Linked DNA regions of Drosophila melanogaster. The protein of the gene in region 3 interacts with the protein of the main gene of each other region in a pairwise test. Each region holds a gene or a part of one and is shown on either strand. Other genes may lie near its edges. The genes, in order: CG5062, CG12182 and CG14684.

Evidence for each region.
Region 1: the proteins of CG14684 (region 3) and CG5062 interact in a two-hybrid assay, tested with the Drosophila melanogaster proteins (one large-scale study listed by BioGRID).
Region 2: the proteins of CG14684 (region 3) and CG12182 interact in a two-hybrid assay, tested with the Drosophila melanogaster proteins (one large-scale study listed by BioGRID).

Annotation. Positions count from the first base shown.
Region 1 is NC_004354.4:5,176,284-5,187,098, reverse strand, and holds CG5062 (uncharacterized protein), read left to right. Parts: upstream 1-4,729; 5' UTR 4,730-4,918; coding exon 4,919-5,515; intron 5,516-5,579; coding exon 5,580-6,728; 3' UTR 6,729-6,917; downstream 6,918-10,815. Other genes in the region: CG15465 (uncharacterized protein), read right to left, coding at 10,591-10,815.
Region 2 is NT_037436.4:2,590,525-2,601,492, reverse strand, and holds CG12182 (uncharacterized protein), read left to right. Parts: upstream 1-1,913; 5' UTR 1,914-1,991; coding exon of another isoform or gene 1,992-2,057; 5' UTR 2,058-2,112; coding exon of another isoform or gene 2,113-2,136; 5' UTR 2,137-2,173; coding exon 2,174-2,228; exon of another isoform or gene 2,229-2,368; intron 2,369-2,422; coding exon 2,423-4,299; intron 4,300-4,350; coding exon 4,351-4,503; 3' UTR 4,504-4,643; coding exon of another isoform or gene 4,644-5,461; 3' UTR 5,462-5,517; coding exon of another isoform or gene 5,518-5,623; 3' UTR 5,624-5,651; downstream 5,652-10,968. Other genes in the region: CG16986 (uncharacterized protein), read right to left, coding at 131-472, 534-623; CG16985 (uncharacterized protein), read right to left, coding at 1,382-1,596, 1,661-1,805, 1,992-2,057, 2,113-2,136; CG16984 (uncharacterized protein), read right to left, coding at 4,644-5,461, 5,518-5,623; dos (daughter of sevenless), read right to left, coding at 6,447-6,971, 7,028-7,628, 7,692-7,932, 7,994-8,105, 8,174-8,940, 9,007-9,331.
Region 3 is NT_033777.3:10,701,266-10,710,244, reverse strand, and holds CG14684 (uncharacterized protein), read right to left. Parts: upstream 3,272-8,979; 5' UTR 3,243-3,271; coding exon 2,862-3,242; 3' UTR 2,785-2,861; downstream 1-2,784. Other genes in the region: CG14689 (uncharacterized protein), read left to right, coding at 1-569; CG31373 (uncharacterized protein), read left to right, coding at 911-1,189, 1,347-1,658; CG31278 (uncharacterized protein), read left to right, coding at 1,983-2,387, 2,459-2,770; CG31467 (uncharacterized protein), read left to right, coding at 3,511-4,953; CG31391 (uncharacterized protein), read left to right, coding at 5,256-6,698; pug (pugilist), read right to left, coding at 7,097-7,339, 7,406-8,979.

The DNA.
Region 1 (10,815 bases), on a different chromosome or scaffold from region 3:
CGTTATAATCGTTGATTTTGTTTTTTCTTTCTTTTCTTTCCTTTTCTCTTTGTTTTTATTTTTGGGGGGGTATTTTAATTTATTAATTTCTTGTTGTTTTGTTATGTTTTGTCGTTTAATAGCACTCGAGTTGTTTGGTTTTTCTTGTCGTGTTTATTGTTTTTCTTAGTCTGTCTGTAGCGCACATCTTACTCAACTGCAAGTTAACTTGGTTTAACATTGATTTTGAGAATGTTCAAGAAAAACAAGATCCCACAAAAACCAAAACCAACGAAAAAAAAGACAAAACCAATCACACAAAAACTTTGCAATTTTATTTGCCAACGAGTAAATAATAACAAACTAGATTAAAGAAGTAAAAAAAAAAAAACCAAAAATTCAGGAGAAGAGAATAACATGGTTATCGGTCAACGGCAGGCGAAGAACTGAAGCTGCAGCAAAACAAGTGACCCACAAGTCACAACTACTTTCCATATAAAATTTATAGCCAAGACGGAATAGGGGGAAAAAGAAAAATAAAGACAGAGACGGAGAGAGTGGGAGAGGGAAAGAGATAGAGAGAGAGAGAGAGAGAGAGCATCGGGGGCTCTATGGGGACTATCAACAACCAGCAGAAAGTAGACAACGAAAACACCAACAACAAATGAACAGAATGGGACAAGTCGAAATGAACTGCGAAATGCAAAATGTCATTGTGATGACTTTGTGGGCAGCATTTGGGCACTTTGTATACCGAAATATACGAGCATATTCCAGGAAGGCAAACATGACACCAACTTGGAGCATCAGTCACGCCCCCAACTGCCATATTGGATCCACAAGACGAAGACCATGGCCATGCCCATGCCTATGCCACCCCACCGACTCCTCGAACTTTTGACCGCTGACTGGGGACTAATAAAATTCAAGTTAAATGGTTGTTAAAAATTTATAGCAGACGCCTCGGCTTCCGTGTGCCATTTCGAAGGCATTGGGAAGAAAATAGCAACAGCAAGGCGCTACTTTTGTGTGGAAGGGGGGGTAGAGAGGAGTTGTGTTCTGCAGAAGGCCGGGGTTTCGCATAGAGGTAGCCACAAAAATTTCAGGCACGCTGCCCAACATCTAAGGTAGTCACCAATAGAAATCTAGATTTATGGCATCCGTTTTAAGGCAGCCAAAAATTAAATGGCTTTCCGTTATAAACATAAAACCATAGGTTTAATATTCCATTGCACTTTACCATATTAATTAATTAATTTCTTCGTGAATCTAATAGACTTAAGCCCTTAAAGTGCCAAAAAGAAAAAAAAAGAAGTATTTCATATTAACTTTGAACAATATTTCCTCGAAATTCAAGTGGAAACTTTTGTCGCCTGACCAAAGGCCTCATACATACACATACATATATGAGTTTTTCTCTTCCCATTCTTATATTTGATGCTTTTTGTTTTGTTTTCTAATTCTGTCAGCAGTTACAGTTGAAGAAAAATAAGCATACAGCTGCCTGACAGTCCGGACAGCAGTCTTGGTGCTCCGGTTCCTCTGGCTTTGGCCATAGCTTCTCCTATAGCTTTTCCCACATCTCTGACTTTGGCTTTGGCTTTGCCAGCCGGCCGTCATCCGTTGGCTCTTCCGCTTCCATGGGTCCTGGGCGCTCGGAGCGTAATTTATCTGCTGGAGGAGCAGCAGTTGTAAAAAGGGGGGGAATTCCGCCTGTCAACAGGAGTCCTACGTTTCGAGTCCTCTTTGGCCATGGGTAAAATTTATGCAAACCGACGTATGGCCAACAGGATGAGCGAGTGGAGCCAGAGATATATGACCCCCTGCACAATCCAAAAAGGAGGGGAGCTCAAGGAGAAAGGGTGATTTGGAGGATATGAGGGGTATGCCCAGTGTATTAACTGCAGCTAAATCAAAGTTTTGAGCCCAGTTATGAATTATTTGCCATTGTTCAGCAGGCGAAACATTCCTTTGTCGCTGACTTTGTCCCTTTTTGGCAGGAAGCCCGATGGTTTTCCTTTTCCCTCTCCACACTCCCCACTTCCCACAAGCCCGCTCCATATACCAGCGCGGAAGGACACTACGATCCACCTGCCGAGTCATTCGAACCCCGGCCCCCGCCAAGTCAATTTGAACAACATTTTGCCGCAGCTCTGGTTATACAAACAAGATTCCACATTCCGCTTCTTGGCTCTCGTTTTCCTCGAAAGGTTTCCCTCGCTGTTCCCCATGCCTATCTTATTTTTCTGTCTAGCTGTGATGATTTGCCATTTGGGGCAGGACCGTCCTAGAGGCACGTAAATTGAATGGCCGGAGCCAAAAGGTTCTGCAACCTGAAGTAAACAAAACAAAAAAAAAAAAAAAAGTCTAGCAAAAATTAAGTGAAAATAATAAACCTTTCGCACACACACATTTTCTGCTGGTGGTGATGGTGGTGACTTGGGTGGTAAAGGAAAAGGCAAATGCTGAAGGGAAAGCAAAAGGGCATTACACACACGTTGACCAACGGATGTCCTGCTGCCTGATGGCATTACAGTTAATTAAAGGTGAACCGATGGCCACAGAGTCCTGCCATCCAGCACAGTGGGTTCAAGAGTCCAGTAAATTGGATTTAATTTCAATATATGTATATTGTGACACTATTTGTACAGCCATTTTTCGGATATTGATGTGTACCGTTGGTTGCAAATAACTTTTGGACTGCAATCTTGCCACCCTAAAAGGTAGTTGTGGATAGGGAGTGATTTTTAATGACTTTCACGATTAAATGCCCAAGGAATCATTTTCAGTGGACCGGAAATTATCCCATGGTGACTGTGCGCATGTGAGCGGAGGTCCACTGTGTGTGTGTTGTGCTGCTGCTGCTGCAGCTGCGTGTGTGTGTTAGTGTGTGTGAGGGCCATGGCAAACTGGAAACTTTGCAAATGAATGGCAAGGCATTGGAAATAATGAGCCGTATTTACATTTCAAAGCGCTCGCACAGAGCGAGAGCTGTAAAAGTTTTTAGCCTCCCCAACGGACTACGGGTCAAAATCAGTTACGGAACTCTGAAATGAAGAAGGATTGCGAGAAAAGAGGAATAAACCCACGGAGGCTGTTGTTGTAGTAGTTGTAGTAGTAGTTGTAGTAGCATTGCACACGCACACGCACACGCACACAGATGAAGCCGGGTAAATCTCCTCCAGAGTTGTGTGGGGAGTAAATTGCGAAAGCTTTCGGTGGCAGGATTGCATACAATTTGTTTTATGGCCATGGCGTGCACATTAAACGCGCACTTAATCACACGCAATGGGCGTGGTCGGTGGATCGTCCCACCGCCCACCATCGTCGTCGTCGTCTACGGCGACAAATCAAATTGATTTCGCTTTTCTGGCTGGCTTGCCCGCTGCCCTTGCCCAAAAATTTGTACGCCCCCTTTTTTTTTTTTGCCCCTTTTGTTGTGTTGTTTTGCGCCTTATTAAATCACTTTTATTGCCATTGAAATGTGAGAAAAGTTTTACGGAGACGATGCCCCCCCTTGTCGTATATATTATAGTACGTAATATGATTTTTAGCTGCTTGCCAAAAAAAAAAAATAATTCATATTTATGGCAAAAACTTCACGCTCAGCGCGATGTGAGAAACATCGGTGTTATTGATGTCTGGCGAACAGGAGTGTATTTCGGGCGGAACCCATGCAGTCAGAGGTGGTCGCTGTTGGTTGTCCATAGTGAAGGCAACCATTTGCCCCACGGCCACCACACCATCTCATCGGAATCTCGAGTATTTGGTATTGGGTGTCGAGTAGCGTAGTAGATGGAGATGTCTCTTTGTGCGCCCAACAACACAAGCGCCACACAAATAGACAAGACAAACACTATGGGCTGGATATTGAGTTTCGGTTTCGAATTCTCTTCCAGCATTCGTCATATGACGACTAAAATGGAATTTGGTCAGTATCGAGTGCACAAAAGACTCCGGCTAGTTAAGTTATACATATACCAAAATACCGTAAAATAAGCATAACTTGAGCAAAAATAATCATTTTCGAGCACTTTCGAGCAGCAAGTGACATGCGGTATTATAGCCCTGCTTAAAAGCCAGCTTGTTGAACTATATATATTCCTCCATTATCCTTTTTTTTCTCTCACCAGCCTAATCTACGGGCAACAGCGAGATTTTCACAAAAAAAATATATAAAAAAAATAAACCAGCGACCCCTATATTCAGGCACTGCGTTTCAGCGAGGCGTGTAATTAAATTTTCATGCCACCTACCTGGTGGCTGGATTTCGAAGGGAGAGTAGGCGGTGGGGCAAGCGGGCCATGGGCGTGGCACTTACATACAAAGAATGCAAATTGTCGGGGCTATTCCAAAATGCAAGCATCAACGCCTTCGAATGCAACCAAAGCAGGCGGAAGTAAATGCAGCAGCGGCGGCAGCCTTTCCCTTTTTCCCCCAACTAGCTTTCCATATATCCTCGCCCCCCCCCCCCCCCCTTCACTTATCCTCTAGTTTTTCCTTCTCACCTGCCACTCGACAAAAAACGACACTCAAGTGGTCAGGTGTGAACAAGTGTAGAAGCAGCGTACACGAGCATGTTTAATTTTGGGATACTCAAATGTATAACCGACCTATTAAAGGAACTCTATGATTCAAAAAGTACCTGTGAGCCTACATTCCCAGCAAATACCCTGTAATTGTAATGCTATACCCAGCAAGCTTTGAATTCATGTAGATTTAACCTGCCAGATTCGATTGGATAAACAAACGAAATATACGAAACAAGCAAACAAAACAAGAGCCTCCGAGCAAATAACACAAACAGACACGCCAACAAACCGAACAAAGGAACAAACTCAATAGCTAAGCGAGAAATCTGCTATTGCGTTTTACCCCACACCCCTCTGGCCATTTGCAATTTCAAACGCGATATACATATAGAATAGAATTCGTCAAGATGCCAATGGTGATGCCATGTCGTTCGCGAGCTGCGATGAAACTGCACCCGGATTGCTATGATCGACTTAAGAAGCCGATTTATCTGGAAACGCCACCATTATCGACCGTCGAAGAGGAGCCACTATGTGGCGTACGCCGTGATAGACCCGTAAAGCCAAAGGTTCAGAGGCGACCATTACCGCCCGGCACACGTCTACCGAATCCAGTAGCCGTGCCTGGACAGAAGATCACACGTTCGGCGGTGGGTGGCGGTAAGGCGCCACCGCGAGCCCGAAAATACGACGGTGCCAAGGCCACGTTCTTTCACATCAAGGGTCAATCATGGGAATCCAAGGGCTATGCGGAGCTCTCACAGTGCGAACTGGATCGCATGCGGGCATCGAGGCCGCGTACCACCGAGGAGCGTCGCGCGGAACAGGATCGCCGGATGGAGGAGCAGCAATATCATACAGCCGAAGCGGAACGTATGCGTAACTATTTCCACGACATTGATGAGCAGCGCAGGGAGAAGGAGCGCGAGGCCCAGAAGAGGGACGATGACGAGGCCGATGAGGATGTCAACGAGGATCGGCGTGCGGAGGCCAAACGATTGCAGGTAGTTTTTTGGTTTATGGTTCTTAGCCATATTTCCGAAAGTATATCTCCACCACCCATTGTAGGTACTACACCGCGCCTTGGATGCCAAATACGAGTCAGATGTGCGAGTTAAGGATGCCACGCGTGCGATATCCGAGGCCAAATGCAGTGCCATGTGGACGGCTCAGATACAGGAAAGGAAGCTACTCAATCGCATTCAACTCGATCATGACGAGGAGATGGCTCGCAAGAATCGCGACTACAACAATGCCAAATGGGGCACGGTGGAGCAGCAAGATCAGGCCGAAGAGGAGAGGCGCCGGCAATTTGGCAACGCAGTGCGTGAACAAATCACTGATCGCGAAAAGTTACGTTTCCTGGCCCAGGATCGTCTGCGATTGGAGGCGCGAGACTTGCGTGCCGCCGTCGATGAGTATAAAAAGGCTGAATTGGCAGAGGGCGAGATGAAATCGCGCCGTAAGCTGGCCTATCGGGATGAATTGAATAAGTATACGAAATTGCATCGCAATTTCGTACGGATGATGTGCGAACAGGATCAAAGAGATGAGAACAGGGCCTACGAGTATCTAAAGCTCAAGGAGCAGCAATTGAAACAACAGCGAGCGGAACGCGAAGCCATCGCGGCGGATGAGAAACGCAAACGGGATGTTCTCTTTGCAGTCGGCCAAAAGATTCTCGATGCTAAGGATAATCGCGAGGAGATGCATTTCCTGGCGGAACACGAACGCCTCGAACGAAAGTACAGAGAAAACGAACGTAAGGCAGCCGAAAAGGAACGCAAAATGGCCGCCGAACTCAAGCGTGCCAATATGGAGCAAATGGAGCATCTTAGCCAAATGAAGGCCTGCTTCTATGTGCAACGTGAACGCGAACTAAAGGAGATGATCGAGTATCGAAAGAAGCACGAGGAGCAAATGAAGCGCGAGGCCGAGGAGCAGGCCATCAAAAAGGCCTGTCTGCGCTCCAGTGTCTCGTGCCAAATCGAAGAACGGGAGAAGGCTCGTCGCCGCGAACTGGAGGAGGAACACTTGGCCTTCGAAAGGGAGCGGGCAGCTGAGGCGCAGCGGCAAAAGGAAATCGATACGGTGATCACAGTCAAACTGGATGATCTACAAAAGCGCGGATGTCTGCCCAATTTGGCGGTGCAATCGCTAAAGGGTCGTGTCGCCAATGCTGGCAACAAAAAGAAGCTGGGCGCTGAATTCACTTAGATAGTTATATTTTCTAAAAATCCATCCATAGACAGACAGCATCAAACACGCGCACACACTCACTCCCACACACACACACACACACACACACAGACACACACATGAACTCAAGTTGACAATGGCATAGATGATGACTTTTCGAGCTTGGCGGAATTAAAACTTGCAGCACATATAAAATGTACATAATGTATATGCACGTATTTTAGCCACCCTGTGGTGGCAACTTTTCCGTGTGTTCCTCGCCTTTTTTGTTTGCTGTCAATTCAACAAGTTAAAACTGCAGACCGCAGACAAAAGGATATATAGACTGGCACTCATTAAGCAGCAGCTGATAGAGCAAACAAAGTTTTTTCTATCGCTGCGCTCACTCTTTTGCATGTATTAAATATGCACACAGATTGCACACGGTATTCGGTGCAACTAAAAGTCAACTTTATCCTGTCGCATTTGCGGCTGCAAAAATAATTAGCCACACAAGTAATCAAAAACAATGGGTTCAAATGCAGTTTTGGGCAGTGGTGTTACTGTTTTATTTAAGGTTAATTATTAACTAGTTTATGATCTAGGGATTTCGCGCAGTTTTGTTGAATATCATTTATTCGTATAAAGGATAAAAACTAAGCAAAACACGCAGCGAAATCGAGTATAAATCACAAAAGAGGCGCCACAGCCACGCCTTCTCGCACGAAGCTATCAATTCTGTAAAGTCAGAGAACAGAACGCTGAGATTAATTGAGTTGGATAAATTTCGCCGGGCTAATACGTCTTTGGGAATTAACCCACGATAGATGAGTGGGGGTTAAAAAGGCGCACACAGACACACAAGGATTAGGGTAAATTAAGTTGAGTTTAAGTAGAGAGGCATTTGTTTCACTTAAATTCGCGAAATTAGCAAAAATTAATTTCACTCGGATGACTATTGATTCGATTTTGTGAAATATTCACAAGAAACAGGCACACGGGCACGAATGGGTTAAGCTGACCGTGACTGCATGGCTGTGGGTCATCCATCCATCGGCATAGCGGCGGGTTAATGATGCAGAAGAATATTGCCCTTGAATGAACTAGCAGCAAGCAAAAAGGCCGAGATGAATGTGTTTCTGGGTTAGCAGAAAATGCCTCTCAATGGCTTAAATACTTGCCATGATGCAGCATTTATGGCAAATATTCACACACACACACACACACACGCACCCACCCACGCACATACACTCGCATATGTACCGCAACATACACACAATATAATTGCCAGTTCCTGCCTGTCGAACACAAAACAAAAATCATAGCATACTTTTCTGTGCGCTCAATGCGAATATACAGTTGTGGGCGAAATAATAGCGTACATTAAAATCACATGCTTAAGACTCTTTCAGCAATCAAGTAAAATTAGAACACCCTTAATTCAGAACCTTTAAGCTATATTCTATAGATACCAAAGATATTCTCATCAATATTCGCATCTTGTGACCTATTATGTTGAACGCACATGTACGTACACATATATTTGTTAAATGTGGAGTACATGTATATGCACACGCACACATACGCAGGCAATTGGAAAGAGGGTAGCTGTGTGTGAGTGTTGCGCGTGTGTGCGTGTGTGTGTGCTTGGTAAAAACAAACAATAGTAAAACTGATTAAGTCGGGGAAAACCACATCAAGCTAAACGATGATGAAGAAAAGACCAAAAGATTACGAACGTTGAACGCTGAGCACAAAAGGGAGAGACAAATGGTTGAAAAGAAGAGAAATGGTAAGGGCAGTGGAGAAAGAAGGAGGAGGACGATGAGAAGAGGGGGGGCATGGAGATGAGGAAGGACATGTGGGGAAAGTTAACTTGATGCGGGCCAAGGATAGACAAACACACATGGTCACTGGAGATGAAAACGAGGTCCAAGGAATAAAAGAATACAACAAGAAAATTCTACCACATATCGAATAATTGAAAGGATATATGTACGTATGTATGTACCTCTATATGTATATGTACATGTACATACATTTATATAGGGCAGATAGGGAGTCTGCTGCGACAATTTGTAAGATATGATAGTAATGCTCTACAGCTTTTCCTCCTTTCTTTCCCTGTTCCCCTTTGATTTTTTTTTTTTCATTTTTTCCTCCAACAATGACAGCAAAATTAGTCATTGTCCTCCGTCTTTAGCTCCCATCATTTGCATATATGTGAGAGCGCCTGGCTGTGGCTGGGTCTCTGTGTTTTGCTAGTCCTGACAATTATGTACAATTTACTTTGCATAACACTCGAAAGCAGAGGTTTAAAAGCCAGGCCCGCCAGGAATGAGAAGGAGACTGGGACGCCAGAGACCTGGCCAAAGCCAACTAGTTAGCATATTTGTTGTTCCAGTCCCCCCAAGTGGCTAAGACCCAGAGAATTCTGCCAGGAAAAAAAGCCAGCAAAAAAGGAAAAAAAAGCGAACAAAACGAAAAAAGCGAAGCAAAGAATTGTAGGGAGAGAAAAAGCAGAAACTGAAACTAGAAAAATTAAAGCGAAGTTAAACCAACAATCTAAACAAAAAGTAAAAAGTTTCGAGAGGAGGACCAACCACATGGAAGGGCCAGAATTTTAAACTGTGCGCCCTCTTCCCCACTCTCTTCCCCTCATTCTATCTCTCAACGAGCGAAATACACAAAAATCTGAACCCAAAAACAGGAAATGTTAAATAAAAACCAAATAGAATAGAATCAAATATGCAAGAATCTGTATGTTTAAGTAGTTTTGGATGTAACCTTACTAGTACTCTTTGCACACCACACGTGTGCGATTGTGTTGATTGACTTCGCAGCTGCAAAAAGTTGGGAATTATTAGAGCCGGGCTTAGCTAGCGATGCAGAGAGAGAAAAAACAGGTGACAAATTGACGGTGGCTTATGTGTGTGAGTGTATGTCCGAGCGAGAGTGAGAGAGAGAGAGAGAGAGAGATAAAGAGGTAGAAGTTGGAGTTGAGTTGGATTTTCGGGTGTTAGTATGTGGTGGACAATGAAGATAAAAAAAATCACGTGATTTACGTACAAAAAAAAAAAGTGGGCTGGTGCAAAAGTTCTTGTCCTGTTAGGTGAAAGTGAAAGAAATGTTATTGAGGTTCGAAGGAAAAAAAGAGTGCAGTTGGGTGTGAAAAATATGACCACTTCTCTGAGCAAGTTTGACTATTGTTGGTATATCATTTTTTCGATTATTTAGGGTGAGAGGCAACCTTTTATTTATCGTGAAATATGCGCAATATAATTAGATTTAATCAATGTGAAATAGGACTAAGGTGAACAGTGCAAGCCGAAGACCAAACCAGTGGTGAAGGGTGAGGGGCATAAAGAACAGGTGAGTGAACAGTGAATATAAGCAGGTGAGAAAACATAAAGGCAAAAAATATAATAATGTTCGAGATATGCTGTGCGAAATATTTTTTGAAAAATTCTCATTGGCATTTTTTTTTTTTTTTTTCTTCTATTTGTTGTGTTGGTTTTGGCTTTTCGGTTTGGGTTTCCTTTTTTTTTTTCTTCTTGTGTTTGACTTGGTTTCTTGTTTCTTTTCAGCTGGTTGGCTTATGGTTTTTAACTTTTTGCTAACCTTGTGTGGGGTGTTTCGCTTTGGGCAATTTTGTGATTTTGGTTGCATTTGGTTCGATTGTTGGTGAGCGGAATTTGAAAACTGATTTTGCATTTATTTCGATTTGATTTGGCTTCGATTTTTGATTTGGCGATTTTCGATTCTCGATTTTGATTGATTTTGTATTTTGGTTTCGGTATATTGATCGATTGAAGTGCAATATGGTGAAGGGCTGTACAGGTATGAGAGAGCTGAGATATCGAATTGAGTTTTGAGTAGAGTGATCTGATTTGAATCTGAATTAGAACTTTTCCGATATGCTATAGATGCGCTTAACGCTAACGCACTTGCGTCGCAGTCGCTCGCACTCGATTTCCCTGAAGTCTGCGTGAGAATTGGCGCCCAACGACGTTGCCTGTCCCGAAATGCTGAGATGGTGATGATGATGATGATGATGCTCCTGTCCGGTGGCGATGTCGTCAATGGCGATGTGATGAATCCTGGTTAGCTGTTGTCGTGTGGCGGC
Region 2 (10,968 bases), on a different chromosome or scaffold from region 3:
CTACACGTGTAATAAAATAAAGCACATTAATAACCCATAATCATTTATTTGTACAAATTATGAAACTTACTTGGGGCGCTTCGAAAATATTTTTCAAAACGAAGTAGCTCCCAATTTGAGACTATCTAGTCTAGTCAAATTTGATATACTTTAGATGTGTGCCCTTGGCTATCACCAAGTCGTCCTTCTTGTGCTTCAGGGTGCAATCGATGAAGGCAAGGTACTTGCCCACCTTGGACAGATTGGCCTGAATCACCACATCGTCGCCCAGTTTGGCGCCGTTTAGAAAGTTTACACTAAGATCTACCGAAACTCCGGGATGACATGGCTTGGACATTAGGGCGTAGGTGGTTATCAAGTCCACCAGGGTCATGATATAACCGCCGTGCAAAAACTTGTACAAGTTCACATGATCCTGGTCCACCTTTAGCTCAGCAGTGCAGGCTCCATCGCCACCGTCTACGATCTTGACCTTTAATGGAATATAAGGATGAGATAATGATATTGGTAAGGAGACTCTATGGTGATCTAACCTTCTGTAGGTGACTTTCAAAGCCCGTTGACTTGTTGATAATCTCGGTGATGTGTTTAGCGAATTCGAGTCCCTTCTTGCGAGTTCCCATATTATTTATTGATGTTGCTTTACAGACGATCCGCTAGCTTCTATATAACTACAAAATGAATTAGTTTGTCCGATCGGAACGATTAGAAATATACTAGATTTAGTTTTGTAGATAGATAAGTAGTCGTAACGTGCACTTATATCTCAAGTGTCAGATAGTAATTGTTTTACAATAGAACAATCCAACTTTATTGTATGTATGACGTGTGTAAGTTTGGATGGGACTAAATCCATTAAAAAATAAATCACAGTAGTATATTAACAAATGGATTGCTTTGATTTTTTCAATATTTGATTTCATTATCTTCGAGTGCAGTTTTCCGCTTTTCGATGAAAAGTAAACAATTAGCAAGTATCAAAAAATAAGGTAAACATAATATAGCACGATATTATGAAATAGTTAGTATTTAGTTAACGGATCCTACCTAACTATCCCCGTACTGCCCGAAATTTACATAAAAATCTGAAAATCTAACGTAACACCTAACAAAACAATTTCAAAACAAACAACAGCTGTTTTGCGATAAGCAGAATCGCCAATCGATAAGTTAAAAGGGCAAATCGATATGCAAAGTCCTACCTATTTAAAAATTATCCGTTGGGATTTCTATAGTCTTTCATCTATTTTAGTTTTAAATATCTTTATTTTGTAAATTAAGAAATAACTAACTTAAGAAATAATAAATAATTAAACTAGTACGTCTTAAGCAGAGGTTCGAAAGATTTTATTTCGTTTTCTGACGATCTACAAAAATTGTTTTAAAAATCCAGTTTTTCCTTGTCGAACTGAATGTACTTGACCTGTCCGCCCTTGGCGATGATCTTTCCATCGGACTTACGCCTCAGAATGCAGTCCAAATAGGCCATTTTCTTACCGGCCCGCACGGTATTACAATCAATTTCAATAAGTTCGCCAGGTTTCGCTGCTGCAATGTAGCTTACATTCAGGTTGGCCGTAACTCCGGGATGGGATCCTTGAAATTTAAAAAAATTTCATTGTAGATTCTATAGATTGTAATAAACAAACTTTCAAAATACCTTTCGACATAAGGGCATATGTGGTACAATTATCAACAATTGTTGCCGTAAGACCACCGTGCAAAGTTCCTTGGCGATTCAAATGCTCATTGGCCACAGTGAACTCCCCTATTGCGCGACCATCTCCACCGCCTGTAATTTTAATCTGCGAATTGAAATTTGTTTACATTTTTGAATCTCTGAAGATCCCACGAGAGAGGTGAGCACTTCACGGTTATCGATTGCAGCGAGCTGAATTATGTAATACCATCACTGATGACAGTCAGCTGTTTTTGAGAGACTTCGACGGCGTCGCTTTAAAATCGGCTGCACAAATTGTTTAGAATCTTACCATTTTCAAGACGCGGTCGAATCCATTGGACCCGCTGGCGTACTCGGACATCTGCTTCACAAAGTCCTTTGAAAAGAAAGAACTTCAGTTATCTACTCAACAAGTTACATGGTGCTCTAACCATTCCCAGTTTCTTGGCCGCCATTCCGGTGGATTTGGATTCCTGAACTGAGCACGACGAAATGACGAAAGTTACTGAGGGAGAAATTTCACATGGCGTTCAAGATGTCGGGAAATGTGAGTGTATGCGTGCTAAATAGATATACCCACACATCTGAGATAGTGATTGCCGATTTCGCGCGGTTTGTTGTGCTCGCTCTGTTCGCACTTACAAATAATTCCTATTCTTCAATGAAATAGTGTAACTGGAATATCTTGTAATATAATTGCAGTTTGTTATTGCAATTAATAAATGTTTAATTTCGTTCTAGATTATCTGGATTTTCACCTTCTAGCCAAAGGATTCGTCCGCCAGGACTCGGTACACGACTTTGTAAACAGCGATTCCGATGGAGACTTTATAGCACTGAGCGGCTCCAAATCGGAAGTGATCACTCTGGAATTGAGCAGCAAGTTCATGGTCGTGGATCCCTTTCCGTATTTTGTGGCCATTTATGATTCCAACGCTGCGGAAACACGACCTCTGGACGTTTTGGCCAACAAAGTGGATCTGGTTGCCATATACGACAGCTGCGATGTCCTGGAGGCACAGCACTTGGCCCTGGACCCGGCATACACGGCTGTGTGCTCCGTTGCCGTGCCACCAGCCAGACTAACAGCTGTTAAGCGAGCACCCAAGCTGGCAGCTAATGGAAATCTCCTCCTGGGCTCCCTCAACACTTATGGATCCTTGAGCCTAATAAACAAGTCCGCTGAGTACAATCGTTGGAACCCTGTGGAAGGACTAAATATCGCTGAAACTCTGAGGGACACTCTGCTGCCTGAAGTGGACATCGCCAAGATAAAAGACTTTAAGAGCTATCAAGAATATATTAATCCCGCCTGGATCACTATGTTTGCTTGGTTACCTGATGATGCAGATGCCACTGGCCAGCATGTTTTGGTTCTGGGAACAGCCGCAGGAAGTTTGTGGTTGCTCACACTAAGCGCCGATGTCAAAACTCTTTTAAGTCATCAAGAAACGAAAACCTCAATGGGTCGTATCTGCCATATACAAGCTTTCAAGGACCTTCTACTGGTGGGCGATAGCAACGGACTCATTCACCTGTACCAATTGCCAGCTAAGGGAAATACAGCTCTCGCCTTAGTGAAGCCCTTGTGGGAGAAAGCCGATCGCATGGGTCTGCAAATGGCAGTGATCACTGAATGTCCCAGAATGGATTGCTATTATATAACCTGCTGCAAGGCGGCGCACCTGCTGACCTGGAGCATGCCAAGAACGGGGAGCACAGACTGCCTGCAAGCTCGGATCTATGTCGGCGGAATGAAGATCACCGCTCTCTGCAGCCTGGAGAACAGTAGCTACGTTGCAGGAACCGCTGGAAGCTGTTTGTCTTGCGTACAAATTATCCACGAGAATAATCAGCTTAGCCTGCAGATGCAATCGATAGCCATGGGTGTCCTTCAGGATTTCCAGGTGATGGGACTGTGCACCAGTAGGCACAAGAACTTAATGACCCTGTTACTCTACCGCAACAAGGAATATCTAAATGAAACTGTATCTCAAAAGAACCAGTTGGTTATGCAAGTGCTCAAGGTGGGGAATCAGGATCCACTTGATCAGCTTGTCAGGCATCTGGAATCCAATAAGCCCATGAATCACTATACCGATTTATTAGCTGGACTACGTCTGCACGTTTTTGCCGAGGAGAATTGGCAAAAATTTATGGACTTTTGTCCATTAGATTCCATTGAATTTGCCGATACCGCCACTGAAGGTCAGCTGCAGCAGCTGCAAATTAAATTTCATGTTCTTCAAAACGTGATTCGCCTGCAATCGAGCCACCTCCAGCTGACAGTTCACATCCAAAAGTCCCGGGATGAACTGCAGCTGCTCCTTGCGATGCTGAATATCACACACATAAGACTGAGGCTCCAGTTTATTGGGTCATTAAGTAAGAGATCACCATTCCAGGAGCAGGCGATAAAATGTATGTTCGAGGAGGCCCACAGACTGATAAATAAACTCAATGACGACTTCACGGAAAACCATGCCCTAGGATCCACAGCAAGGACATTCGTTGAACAAATGGGCAACCATATTCAGCACTTGCACGAGATGCTAGGTATACCTGTGATATCTAATCCCCAGAAGCAACTTCATCGATGCAGTGTGTCCTTTGTGGAGGTAAGAATTCACTAGAATTCATTTTAAGACAAGACTACAGTATCCGTACAGATCTCCCTCAGCTTGGAGCGACGCTACTGCAGCCTCTGCAACCGCCAAATCCTATTCGAGCTGGACAATCTGCAAGAACTCTACGAGTCGGGGAGACATCTGACATGTCCCGTTTGCCATGGAAGCTTTGCCACGGAAATGTTTAATGCATAAACGTTAAATTTATTCTCAATCTTAATTACGAAGTGTTTTGTGTGTCCGCCTCTAAGAGCAAAGCAAGTGAATCCATGGAGACACCTCACTCGGCTTCCAGATGCCGACACACATGGTCAGAAAAGGTGTGTGTGTCATTGTTAGTACTCGGAAACATAGATAATGGGAGTGGTCTCGATTAGCAGAATGTCCTGCTCCACCTGGCGAAGATCGGACTCCAGCTTGCTTTTGCGCTGCCGCTTGGCGATGCTGTCGATAAGGAGCGACATCGACTGATACTGCTTGGTCATCTCGGTCAGGCTCAGTCGCAGTCCCTCGAGGATCTCATTTCGCTCGGCCTGCTCCATCACCCGCATACCCGGCATTGGCGGCGGACCACTTGATTGGACGGATGCCCTGGTGAAACCCTTGATACCGCGGCACAGCTCCAGCAAACGTGCCTGTTCCTTGGCACACACCGCATTCATGTCGGCCAACATCCTCTTGGTTTTCTTGAGGTAAACAGGCACCTTGCCGAAATCCTTGCGGCAGATAAACTGCGGTACCAATCCGGAATTGAGTAGATCGTGACGAGCTCCCACGGGAGTGTCTACATAACGAGGTGGCGGGGGACAGGGAACCGTTTGTCCGGCACATATCTTGTTGCGTTTGATGAAGTTAGGTACCATTGCCGGCTTTTTGCCGCCACTGCCCGGTGGTGGTAGTGGGGGCATTGGCGGCATCTTGGGACACTTGTGGGTGTTCTCTCGCCGCCATTTGATGCCCTGGCTCTTGCGCAAATAGGCGCACGGTGGGTCAATCGGAGTGTGAGCACAGCCCATGGTGCGGTGGGCTGATTTCTTGGCCTCTGTCAGGACGCGGGTTCCATCGTTCTGGAGGATAATCGATAGCTTCTTGTCCTCCTCGTTAAAGCGTTCGCGAAGTCTCTTGGCATACTTGGCTGCCCTCTCCACAACAGCTGCAAAATTGCTTAAAGTTAGGTGGGAGGTAACGATTTTTAGTACGAATCCCTACGATTTTTGTAGACAAAAATTGATTCCTTAGGTCCTTGGGCCTTCACAAAGTCCTGCTCGCACTCGAGAATATTCTCATCGTGATGGGTGATATAAACCAGGGACATTGTAATACAAATATGTAAGGATGAAGGTAGGGAACTCGAAAGCGTGCTAGTTTACTGACTATTCGTTTAATAATAACAGTCTGTTTGGTGGAGACTCCTGCGTTGCCAAGTACCTCTGCGTTGACTTGGATTGATTTAACTCGAAACAAAGGTTGCTATAGGATTTCCAGAATAAACAGAAGGCAACATCGTTTCCTGGTGATATTGTAATATTCAGATATTTTCTAGCAATCGGAATTCGATATTTGTTCTGGATCTTTTAGGAGAACACACAAAATTGGTATTATTGTATATATATTTTTTAAAGCACAAAATCAAGCTACAGCTTGTGTCGCACACGAGTTACATTATTAAATTGTAAATAATTTGTTACCATATAAAATTCGTGTATATAAATATTTCGCTTGCGTATATAAAATAATTGTTTGCATTGTAAAATTAGCACTAAGATCGTTTGTCATGGTTACATTTTGATTCCGAAGCTTAACAATAAACATGGAAGTGTTGGAAGCACGATTTAAATACGAATACGACATAGATTCAGATACGGGTTACAGATTACAGATTCAAAACAGCACACAGAAATGCTGGTGCCGTCTTACAAGCTAGATATGTGGTTTAATGAATAATGAATTTGACGATGTTAACGAATGTAAAAGCCACTCGAAATTTGCACTGTTTTTGGATGGGGTCAGCTCTCCTCAGCTGACCACCAATAGGCACTACGAAAATCTCGGATCAGCAACATGGTCCTTCCTTTGCTATTGCACGTTGACAAGTAGATGTACTGGAGATATGATTTCATTTAGCTGAACCAGCAGTTTCACTTGTTGCCGCTGCTCTCGCGCTCCTCTCGAATCCTCTTAAATGCCTCCGTCTTGACAAAGTCCACGGATCTATAGACCACGCTGCTAGGCACTGGCGCTCGAGCTCCGCCAGCTTCGACGCCTGCGAATCGCATTCCACTAGCTCCATTTCCGCCTTGTGAGTACAGATTCCCCACACTCATGCTGGATCGATTTAGCAATGGCGGTTTGTTGGTCACATCCAGATCAAAGTACTGCAGCTTGTGCTCAGTCTGCGCCGCCGCTTGCTGCTTGGGAGCAGCTGCTGCCGTCAAGCTCATCATGGCAGCCGCTGCGGAGGCGGTGCGCTGATGTTGTACCGACATGCTGCCGGGACTGTTCGGATGATGCCGATGCTGTTGGCGAGGCAGGGTGCGGGTCTCGTGAAAGAAGGCGTTGGCTGCCGCCGGGGAGTGTACATCCGTTTCATGCGGCAGCACCATTGAGAGAGGGGCACCGGAGGAACGTCGCGTTGCCGGCGACATGGTAGCCGAATTGCCCAACTAAAAAGAAGTCATTAGTAAATTGAATATGGGTGTGCACAACGTTTGTCACTCACCTTATAGGCATTCGGTTTGCACTTCCTGTCCACACTGGGCGGTCCAATGGGCTGCTGCAGTTGGGCTGCACCCAGTTTATTGGTTAACTGATCTACGCCCACCGGGGGCTTTGCAGGAAACTCCTCCGGCGGTTTGTCCTCTACAACTGGCAATCCACCCGCCACCTTTGGCTTAAGTTTCCGGTTAACCGGCGGGCAGTCCGCCTGCTCCATGAAGTCGTATCGAAAAACATTGCCCTCCATCTTTGTGGGAGCTGCATTGGTGTAGCAGTGTCGAGGCAATGTGCGCGCACTGGTGGGCGATGATGCGACTGCCTGTGCCTCACCCATCAGGCCGGGATTCGCTGCCGCTGAAATTGCGGCCACTGCACCCAGATCGGCCGCCATGAGATTCGGTGTGGATGCTGCAATGGGATTGGAATTGTGCGGGCTGGTGACTGGTCGCTCGCCCAGCAGCTGGTTGACGTTGTAGTAAGGCTGCTGGTGGGACCTTGGAATGTCATAGCTTTCCTCGATGAAAGCGGAGTGCGCGTTGCGGCGGGCCACAATGGCCGGCGAAGTATTTTCCGTATCCGACAGCTGCGGCAGATCGCGAGGAATTCTGTCAATGCGCAGGATGATTTAGTAGGCCGTTTAAAATTGAATTGAGTGTGTGTTAACTCACTTTTCATTCTCCTTAAAGTCCAATATGAGATTATTTTTGTTCTTCAGCACCTTGGCCAGCTTATCCAGCGTTCCCTGGTCACCAGCCTCTGGCAGAGATGCTGCTCCTGCTAGCTTGGAACTCTTTTCAGCTGGTGGCACGATCGCTCCTCCTTCCTCGGGCATTTTAGAGAATCGCTGCGAGTACGTTAGCACGAATGATTCGTTTTCAATGGAACTATCCGAAGGTCGGGTACTGCGATCTGTGAGAAATCTTTGTTTACTACGAGAATTCGCTTTGATATTTGCCTTTTGAGTACTTACCCACATTCTCGCGCAGTGGCAAAGGATGAGCCCACTCATCGTCATCGGTGAAAACGCTTTCCGAATCGGAGTCGGAGCGTTGTTTACTAGCATTGTTATTGGCCAATTGTTGCTGAAAGGCCAACATGATAATTAATTATAAATAATGCTTGACGCGCATCGTTATCGCTATCAACTTACCAGACTCAAATTGGTTATCTTCGGTGAGTAGGATTGATCGTTGGTCAGATTTAGACCTATGTTATTATGACTACGCGGCGTATCGTAGAACTTGGGATCCAAGTTGTTCAACGGCGTGGTGGGGTTGTTTGGTATGGCCAAATCTGCGCCGGGCAGTGGAACGCCGGGCAGGAATCTCGGGCTGCCCGAGAAGCACTCGCTGATGGGTATGTACGGTCCGGATGCGGTGCTCAAAGCGGGTGAAGCCTGTACGCTGCTGTGTTGCTGGGCAGCTGCCTCCGCCAGGGTCTGCTGCGTGAGCACCAGATGCTCCGGCAATTTGCGCACTACTCCGTTGGCACTGACCGCCAAGCGAGCAGCTTGTTGCTGCTGCTGCTGCAGTTGCTCGGCGGCTGCAGCTGCCGCCTGAGCTTGGATCAAAGCACTGTGGTTTAGATAAAGAGCCGTGGCCGGCGATGGAGGCGGTTGCTGCTGGGCAGCCGAGAGCAGTTCCTGCTGATCGAAATTGGCATCGCAGAGCATCGTCTCGCGATTGCTGTACTCCGTGTTGACATACACCGAGTCTGAGTTATTGTTGCCGGCATTCGAGGGCATCGGTTGCTCTTCAATGACCGCCGGTCGTCGCAGCTGGGCAGATCCTCCAGCATTTGGGACCGAAGCCTGAGGCGCTGTGGTTCCGGCCGACGAGTGCAACGATGTGGTGGTCGTATTTTGAGTGGAGTTGCTTAGACCGCCACTGGAGCTCGTGTGTTGGGTGCGGTTTTCGTCTGGGTGTTGCAAGAAAAGAAAAACTTAAGAAGGGGTTCTTTGGACATGGGCTTGCGGACACTCACCTGCACCCACAGCTCCTAATGGCAACTCATTCGATTGCTTTGTGTCGTGTAGGTGACACACCTGGCAGATGCAGTTCACCCAGTCGCGCATATCCGCCTCCGTCTCAGCAGCCAGGTAGTAGGTGCGCTTGGGCGTCTTGATATCGAACATGTACTGAAACTTCTGCTTGCGATTCTCCAGCCGCAGGCCACAGTCCACCTGCTCGCACTGATCCAAATCGATAACGCCCTTCAGCTTGCGGCAGTTGTGGTCGGTGTAGTATTCGAGGCAGAACTGCTCCGGTATCTCGCCCTGCTTCAGCGTGAAGTAGCGACGCCTCCAGCGCTACAAAGATAATTTGGAAACAAGGCGTTAAGAGTTGCAACGAGGCGTACAGTTGGAAAAGCAATAGTGATTTCTCCTATGCCATTACACACACAAGATTCCTTCATAGCGACATATGTTAAATGGGTCGTGGAATTGCAAATATCACACGATAAACTGTCTTTGTTTTTTTGTAGCAAAACAATTCAACAAAGTCAAAAATTCCCCCAAAATGAGATTTGTAGATATTGCTTCTTTTGCAAAGAGTCTGAGAATATTAAACAAGATTACACTGTTACAAATTGTACTAAGATGCCTGAATAGTGATGACTAACTTCATCAGGTAGTTACTCATCAGGGCGAAGAGCAAATGAACAATCTTGATGCTTACAATATCATTTACGCATCAAAAATGTAATTTTCCTAGAGATCTGATAATGCGGTATTTATGATTAGAATATAGTGAATCATTAGCAAATTTTCTAGAATTTGCGACACGCCAAGGCTTTCTTTAAGTCTATCTCTAATTATACTATATCTTGCAGTAGTTTAGCTATATATAAACGTACTACGCGAGTGTACCGATGTCTCCGTTCTGGATTAAGATACCCTTACTGAGCGATGGACTCCGGTTGTTGATATGAGGGTAGGGTACGGCTGATCAGCTCAACGACTGAGTACACTATCACTGCTGGTGAGTAAGCGGGTGATGAAGCCCGAGTCAACAGAGACTGCAGCGGCGCTGCTTTTCCGCGAATCATATTTTGCATTGGCATTTTCTTGGGTAATCAGCAGACACACACACAGAAATAACACCCCCGCCCACGTTACCGTTAAGCGGTTAAGAAATTAACAGCTGAGAGGTTCGGGAACCCGCTGAAAACGTAAAACTCCAGCTGATAATGGATGGTTTTTTTCGGACTGTATAATATCAAGCTTAATTGAATTATAAACAATAAACATAATGCCGCACACAGGCCAGAAATTGGCACCCCGAGGCGCTGGAAATACGCAGCTCATTTTCTCGAGGCATCATTAGAGTTTGTTTATACAATGGCGCTCAAGATATTAGAAACGCAAACGAAAATGTGCGGGCAAAGGTTCTATTTTTAAAATGTTTCTAAATTTGTTTACTTTTAACGCGCCGGAAAGGGTTGTTTTTAAAATTAGATAGCTGCTGTAAACCTTTACAACAAAATATTCCATATTTTGTACGAAGTTTGATGTCAAGAGGTTAGTTATTTAATTTATATTGTATAATCTTAAGCAGTTTTCAAAATAGTGTGATTGAATACTACCATTTTGGACGCTATTGCACGCCTCAACATAAGCAAACAAATTGAGTACAGTGAAACCATAAAGTGGGTTTGCTGTAACTGAAAATTCTGTGCTGCAGACCTTTTGATCAACGGTTTGGGTGTTCTTGGAACTGTCGTATCCATTATAAGTGGTTTCAAATGAACGCTCTAGAGATGGGCACACTACAGAGTGTCGTGTCACGAACTCCTGAGGGAGAACTTCTATATTTTAGCTTTACTAGTTTAAAATCCAGTAAAATTTATTTGTCTGAGCAAATCATTCTATTTATATTTAATAATATAAGCAAACATACTTTTCAACTATTCATCCCCTAAATGTTTAAAAAATAATTAATCCAA
Region 3 (8,979 bases):
GCATTGCCGAGATGGAGCTGGAGTACATTGTGCCGGGACCACAGCTGCGTATGATCGATGTGGCACACGGCATACTGGGACATCCGAAGGATCTGTACAACACCATCCTAGACCTGGACTGGCCCACAGTTCGCTACTCAAACTTTTCGCTTGGCTACGATCCGTACCACATCATTCGCCAGCCGCACTTGGACATTCCCAAGATCGACGCCTTGAAAGCGCGCAAGATGAATGAAAACTACGAGCATTTCTACAAGGTGTATCGCATCTACGAGCCGCACAGCGTGCAGATCCTGCAGAAGTGGCTCAAGCGGGACAAGCTCGTCCAGTTCTATCGCTCCGGGGGACTGCTGCTCACCAACGTGGTATCCCGGTGCGAGAAGGAACTGGCCGAAAAGGTACCGGTAACCAAGGTCGACCAGGTCATATCCAATTACTTTAAGGTGAAGTCCAGGCTGCGCAAGGGATCTCCATATGAACCGGACAACGTTAGCATCACCTCCTCGCGGATCGGGGGCTTCAATTCGCCGCGCCAAAAGAAAACGCCACAGGAATACTATTTCGATTGATTTGAGGTCGTACACATCCATTAGGTTTTCAAGAGACTTCAAATACTTCAAAATTATTTATTCGTGAATAAAATACTTATAAATCTTGAAAGCTTGGCAATATTGTTGTTACTAATATTGTAGGATATTACTAGTATTTTTAAAAAATTGTATTGGATTTTTAAGGTATATATTTCCGCTTTAAAATGCGAACCGTAGACTTATCGTTCCCAGTGTTTCAAATGGCAGATCAGCTGATCCCCAGATAAGGCTATCGTATCAAAATCTGTCCACCTCGACAGCTCTGTGCAGTAGTTGCTCGATAGACACGGTTCAGTAGAGATCTTCTTCCGACCAGAATCATGTCCGCTCCGCCATATCGTCATTTTACCCAAATTGGGGATCCTGTTCTGCGCCAAAGGGCAGAAGAGGTGCCGCCCGAGGACATCGATAGTAGGGAGATCAACCAGATTATTGACGGCATGGTAAAGGTGTTACGTCACTACGATTGCGTGGGCGTGGCTGCGCCCCAAGTTGGAATACCGCTGCGTATTATCGTTATGGAATTCCGAGAGGGAAAGCAAGAGCAATTCAAGCCGGAAATCTACGAGGAGCGTAAGATGTCCATACTGCCCTTGGCCGTAAGTAAAGCTTTTCTTTTCGCGTTCGAAAAATATATGTAAATCTATGCAGTTTTATAAACGTATGAATTTGAGAAACTAAATTTCTGCATACAAAAATATTGCTTATGTGCAGCAACAATCCCGTGATTTCTCATCATAAATCATTTGCTTGCAGGTCTTCATTAATCCGGAGCTGGAGATAATCAGCAGCCAAGTAAACAAGCATCCCGAAGGTTGCATGAGTGTGCGAGGCTATTCCGCTGAGGTGGAACGGTACGATAAGGTCCGGATCCGGGGGATCGGCAAGCTGGGCACTCCGTCGGAAATGGAACTGGAGGGCTGGAACGCACGGATCGCCCAGCACGAGGTGGATCACCTTAATGGAACTATCTACATGGATAGGATGGATCTCTCCACCTTCAACTGCATCCTCTGGGAGCAAATCAACGCAGCTGAAGGTCGATCCGCCATTTGGTTTCACAAGTAATAACTTGGTTGCATTTAATTCAAGGAGCTTTTCACTTTTTTATGGCGCTTTATACAACATATTTGTATATTGTTTGAAAATAAAATACACTTCTGAAATGAATGCGCTGTTTACGAAATAAACTTTGTGTGCGGGGAAAAAGTATTTTATGCACCTAGCATATATTTAAAAGCGCGCCAAATATCAAATCTATTTCCACCGATATATCGATAGGTACATACTTTCACATCCCTAGCCGGTCAGCTGGCCAGTATGACCGTGTTGTGTAACTATATTCCCTACGATTTTGATCGGAATATTAAAGGAGGCTAAACATTTCACAAAATGCACCTGAAACCACGGATAAAAGTATGCCAAGCGATTCTGGGACATTGTCGATCCTTTGGAACGAGTCCTCCCGCTAATCAGTCGTTCAGGAAGTGGTACCAGCACCTGTGGACCACGGAGCGCACAAACTTGCCGCCATACAACCATTTCACCCAGATTGGTGACCCTGTTCTTAGGCAACAAGCGGCTTTGGTGCCCAAGGAGCACATGGCTAGCCCCGAGATTAAGGCCATCGTCGAGCGGATGGTCAAGGTGCTAAGGAAGTTCGACTGCGTCGGCATTGCGGCTCCTCAGATTGGAGTATCGCTCAGGATCATAGCAATGGAGTTCAAGGGACGGATCCGAAAGGAGCTGCCCGAGGCCGTTTACCAAGCCCGACAAATGTCCGAGTTGCCACTGACTGTGAGACTGGGGTCCTAACTAGCTGTGTTCGGAAGCCCAAACCCTATAATACAATGGTTTGCTTCTTACAGATTTTCATCAATCCCGTCCTGACGGTGACCAACTACGCGAAGCTGAAGCATCCAGAAGGATGCATGAGTGTGCGAGGTTACTCTGCCGAAGTGGAGCGTTTCGAAGGTGTAAAGCTAACAGGCCTTGACCAACTAGGAAACCAAAGCGAACTGGCTCTGAGTGGTTGGAATGCCCGGATAGCGCAGCACGAAATGGATCACCTGGAGGGAAAACTATACACCGATCACATGGACCGCTCAACCTTTGCGTGCACCTGCTGGGAGGCGGTTAACACGAAATCCGGACGCGTGGAGATACCCTTCTACAAGTAGTTAAGTCGCTCGTGGATCGTTTCACTATTTATGTATGTATATATACTGATTGAATGGAATTCTATCTGGCAAATGTTCCTCTCGACTGGTTTTAGTCCATTGGTTTGGTGGGTGCACAAACCCGTAGATTGTGGATGGCCGCCCCAAGCGCAGACTTGGCCTTGAAGTACTCCTGACTGTCCCACAAATCACTCTTGTCCATCATGTAGGCAAGCAATTCTTGGTACTCCCGCATCAGCAGACGATGGGTGGCAGCCGTCTTCAACTGTTGCATCTCAAATAGCTCGGAAAGAGTCGGCAGGTCCTCAAGCTCTTGATCACTCGCAGTCTTCAGCCTAATATTTTCGTGCTGGGTTCTCAAAAGGCAATATTCATTATACTGCTCTCGCAGACTCTTGCCAAGATAATTGAGGACTGCAGTGCGCAGAATAAATTGCCGTATGACCGGATCGGCATTAGTGCGGCGGAACATGCTTAGCACAGTCCGGGAAACACCGGTCACCTAAATCAGCGTGGTACCGGAAAATACAAATTCTGAGAATACAGATTGACAGAAAAATCACGCCCTTGGAAATTATTGTATTTGGTCTTTTAAATAATCGGAGTCGCTGCAGCATCTAAATTTCAGTCTTTTTGAGGAACATAAATATTTAACTCTCAATGTAACGACACTGATTTTTCACTGCTTTTGACTAAAATACGATTTTATAAATTTATACCATTATTTACTGCCAAACGCAATGAAGCGCATTCATGTGGATAACTACGCCCCAAAGTACTATAGCGGCAAGTGGTCATGGGACTCGGAGAAAGACTGCCTCCACTTTCAGGCGCACAACGATCTGGAAAACGCAAGAGAGCGCTATATTATGACCAATGGCTACAGGTTCCTGCGCACAATAGACCAGGAGGAGGAGCTCATCTTCCGACAGGAGTATGTGCTACCGAAAAGCAACTATAGTGACGTTGTGGTGGTCGGAGATATTAGAAACTTGGTTCTCTACCTTATGCCTTCAGAATTTCTAACCTACAAGTTCGTTGAGTTCATGTACGAGCGGGATACGCACTTGTTGCTTCACTCCCTGATTATATACTTTGAGCACTATTTGCGACTGGTCGAGTTTATACTTATACGTCGGGATGAGCTTTCCGGTCCCCTGGGTCAGGTGCAGAGCGAGCAGACCAACGATATGAAACGAACCTTTTCGGTATACTTAAGCCAGTATCGTATGCTTGTTGCACGAAACTACTGCCGCATCATCGGGGGCGAGGATAATATGTCCAAGTACTACCACATGAAGCCGATTTCCAACATTTCAGCAACAATCCACGATAAGTTTTTCCATGAGCATTTTCTGGCAGTGGCCATCCAAATAGTCTGGATCTGTATGCATCGCCGGGCGTATTACGTAATCGAAATGGAGATCAATCGCCTTTTCCGCTCCGAGCACTTTGTTTCCGCCCACCCAGAATACCTCGAGTTCACGGAGGCGGAGCGCAGTCTTCTCTACGGCAGAAACAAAAAGAACTACAATTATCGAATTCAGGAATCGCCTCTAGTCCAGGAGCTAAAGCTGGTTCCTGAAGAGGATTTGCCCATTTTGTGGATAGGCGAACGCAAGTACAGAGGAAACGATATCCGCATTGCCGAGATTGAGCTGGAGTACATTGTGCCCGGTTCGCAGCTCAGCTTTATAGATGTATCGCACGGCATCATGGGCCATCCCAAGAGCCTCTACAACACGCTTCTTAGTCTCGACTGGCCGGCTGTCCGCTTCTCAAACTTCTCGGAAAAGTTCGATCCGTACCATATAATCAGGAGACCTCACCTGCAAATACCCAAGATAGGTGAGCTTCAGATGCGTACAATGAAAGAGAAATATGAACATTTCTACAAGCTCTGTAAGGTTCATGAGCGGGTCACACACCATCAGATCTGCAAGTGGGTCAAACGAGACATCAACATAGCCTTCTTTCGGTCCGGAGGTCTACTCACGAACGTAGTCTCGCGTTGTGAAAAGGAGTTGGCAAGCACATCTTCAGGACAAAGGGTCGATCAGATCATCTCCAACTATTTTAAGATCATGTCCAAAATACGCAAGGAGGATAGAGATCCGGAGCATGCATCATCTACGCGTAGTAGTATTGCATCGCGATTTAGTGTAGGCAAGGCAAAGCGGTAAAAAAAACTACCTAATTTTATACGTTAATTGCAATTTTTGCATATTATTATATATACAGAAAATCGGAGCTTTAAAGCACTGACACTTATGGATTGCTATTTTATAATAAATGCACGAAGACGAAAGACATTGGCATCCGATCAAGGGTATGGGTTTCGTAGGTGGGAGCTTGGGAATAAAACTTCACTTTAGGCCTTTAAACATGAGCATAATTCCACTAAACTTCGTCACGTACACATCAATTTAAATACACTTTAAAAACACTAAACACAACCCGATCTTGGTTTATCTGCGCGACTACGATGAAAAGAGTCCATGTCGATAACTACGCTCCAAAGTACTACAGCGGCAAGTGGTCATGGGACTCGGAGAAGGACTGCCTCAACTTTCAGGCGCACAACGATCTGGAAAACGCAAGAGAGCGCTATATAATCACCAATGGGTACAAGTTCCTGCGTACCATCGACCAAGAGGAGGAGCTTATCTTCCGGCAGGAGTATGTACGCGCCAAGTCCAACACCAGTGACACAGTGGTGCTAAGAGATATTCGAGATCTGGTGCTCTACTTGATGCCTAAAGACTTTCTAACCTACAAGTTCATTGAATTCATGCATGAGCCACAGGTGCAGTCCGTGCTCCACGCCTTAACATTGTACTTTGAGTACTACCTACGCCTGGTGGAGTTCGTCCTGATTCGCAGAGATGAACTCTCTGGCCAGATGGCCCAAATTCAGAGCGAGCAGACCACTGAGATGAAGAAAACCTATTCCGTTTACCTGAGCCACTTCCGCATGCTATTAGCCCGAAACTACTGTGAGATTATCAAGGGCGAGGGATCTATGGCCAAGTACTACCACATGAAGCCGATTTCCAACATTTCAGCAACTATCCACGATAAGTACTTCCATGAGCATTTTCTGGCAGTATCCATCCAAATAGTCTGGATATGCATGCATCGCCGAGCGTATTTCGTCATCGAAATGGAGATGAATCGGCTTTTCCGGTCGGAGCACTTTGTTTCCGTCCGCCCTGAGTACCTTGAGTTCACGGAGGCGGAGCGAAGTCTTCTTTACGGCCGAAACAACAAGAACCTCAATTATCGCGTCCAGATCTCTCCGCTGGTCCAAGAGTTGGAGCATGTTGTGACGGAGGATTTGCCCATTCTGTGGATAGGAAAGCGTAAGTATAGGGGCACTGATCCTCACATCGCTCAGATCGAGTTGGAGTACGTTGTGCCCGGATCGCAGCTCCGCTTGATTGATCTGTCCCATGGAATCCTTGGCCACCCGAAGAATCTCTACAACACCCTTCTGAACCTCGACTGGCCAGCAGTTCGGTTCTCAAACTTTTCGGAGCAATACGACCCATATCATATCATCAGACGAAACCACCTGGACATTCCCAAGTTGGGTGAACTTGAAATGCGAAAATTTGGCGAGAGTTACGAGCACTTTTACGAGATCTTTCACTTTTTCGAGCCAGTCACCCATTCACATATCTGCAAGTGGGTCAAACGGGAGATCAACATAGCGTTCTTTCGGTCCGGAGGTCTGCTCACGAACGTAGTCTCACGATGTGAAAAGGAATTGGCCACCGCATATGAGGGACAAGAAGTGGACAAGATCATTGCCAATTACTTCAAGATAGTGTCTAACATACGAAAGGTGGACTACTTTGAGTCGCCTCGTGTGAGTGACGTTAGCACAGTGAAGAAGGGGAACTTTGGAAAAAGACAAAGTACCTAAAAAGTCGGCTTGAAAGTAGTCAGCAAAAATCATGCATTGTTGGTTGCGATTTTGTGCAAGAATACTACCTTACTTTTGAGGGCCAAAAATAGGTATTCGTGTAATTTATATATTTCCAACCTGTCTACATATAAAAAAAAATTCATTTATAATATCATGAAAATATATAAAAACTAAAAATATTTCGTTTCCATTCTTTAGCTTCTGAAAAGTAAAAACTCGATAGTTTTAAAGAAAACTCAAATCGTCAGAAATGTATATTAGTTTACCGACTTTTAAATCTTATCTCTATATCATTTATATACAAGTTAAAACGATAAATTTGTTACTACTCTGGAATTAGATGTGAAAAGGCGTTGAAAGTTATTAGGAATCTTCTCCCTTGTCCAGGTTGCCGTCTAAAATAGGCCCTCAATTTCTCCGGTTTCCGTATTCAGATCGATATCGTAGATCGCCGGGCGGGTGGGAAGACCCGGCATTTTGGTGACCTCACCGCACATGGCGACCACAAAGCCGGCTCCGGCTGAAACATATACGTCCTCAACGTCCAGGGTGAAGCCCTTGGGGGCGCCTTTGATTTTGGCATCGCCGGTGAAGGAGCCGGAGACTTTGGACATGCAGATAGGTAGATTGCCAAAACCCTGCGAATTGAACAATGCATTTCTATAAATACTTTCAGTTTCTCGAAGAAAATGTTCTCGACTTACCGCATCCGTCAGGCGTTTGACCTTCTCCTCAGCCGCCGGCGAGAGCACCACCTTTCCAGCGCCGTACATCGTCGTAGCGATCTTGTTCATCTTATCCACCAGCGGCAGCTCCAGATCGTAGAGCAATCGGAATTGATTGCCCTGTTCGCAGGCCTTGATCACGGCATCGGCCAGCTGAACGGCTCCGGCTCCTCCGTCCGCCCAGTGAGTGGAGACTACGGCGGCGAATGCACCTGCCTCCAGAGCAGCCTTTTTGACCAACTCATGCTCCGCCGGGGTGTCTGCTGAATGAGCATTAAGGCTCACCACCACTGGCATGCCGAAGGCCTTTCCGTTCTCGATGTGCTGCAGCAGATTGGGCAGACCCTTCTGGACGAGCTCCAAGTTCTCCTCGGTGTACTGCTTGTTCAAGGGGGCTCCGGGAGTGACGGGAGCTCCGCCGCCGTGCATCTTGATGGCCCTCACAGTGGCTACCAGCACCATGGCGTTCGGCTTGCGACCGGATGTCCGACACTTAATGTTGCAAAACTTTTCCATGCCAATATCTGATCCGAACCCGGCCTCCGTGCAGACAAATCCATTTTTACCAACCAGCTTTAGGCCGACTTCATCAGCGATGATCGAGTTGCAACCGTGGGCGATGTTGGCAAAGGGACCAGCGTGCACCAGCACTGGAGTTCCCTCGAGCGACTGCATCAGGTTCGGCTCGAGAGCGTCCTTCAAAAGAACTGCCAGGGCACCGGTGACACCCAAATCGTCAGCGGTTACGGGCTTGCCTCGTTTGTCGAATGCCACCACCATGTCAGCCAGCCGCTGCTTCATGTCCTCCAGACTTCGGGATAGTGCTAGCACAGCCATGATCTCGCTGGCCACCGAGATGGAGAACCGGGTCTCCCTCGAAATACCCTTTTCAGTGGGCGATTGCCCAACGGTAATGGTGCGTAGGTACCGATCGTTGATGTCCACCACACGCTCCCACATAATCGTGTCCGGATCGATGTCCAGCCGGGCAAAAGGTCCGTATTCGTCAGCGGTAAGGGTATCGGGATCGGTTTTGGTGATTCCCAATTTCTGGAGCCGGCGTAGCTGAATGGGGCTGAATTTCCGCTGACCCTTGATCGCGGGCACCAATCTGTCATACAAGGCCTTGTCCTTTTGGGTATTCTCGTGGAAGATGCGGGTGTCCAGCTGGGCGGCCAGCAAGTTATTGGCTGCCGATACCGCATGAATGTCTCCTGTCAGATGGAGATTGAACTCCTCCATGGGAATCACCTGGGCGTATCCGCCGCCAGCAGCTCCTCCTTTGATGCCAAAGGTTGGACCTTGGGAGGGCTGTCGCAGAGCAGCCATGGTGTTTCTCAGCTTGTGCGCGCCGAGAGCCTGGACCAAGCCCATTAGTGTGGTGGTCTTACCCTCACCCAAAGGCGTTGGTGTCATACCGGCTACAACCACATAGTGACCCACCTCCTTGTCCTTCAGACGCTCCAACACTGACAGTGAAATCTTGGCCTTCTTATTTCCGTACAAGGAAACCTCACGAGCTTCCAGACCAATCTCCTTGGCCAGCACGGCAA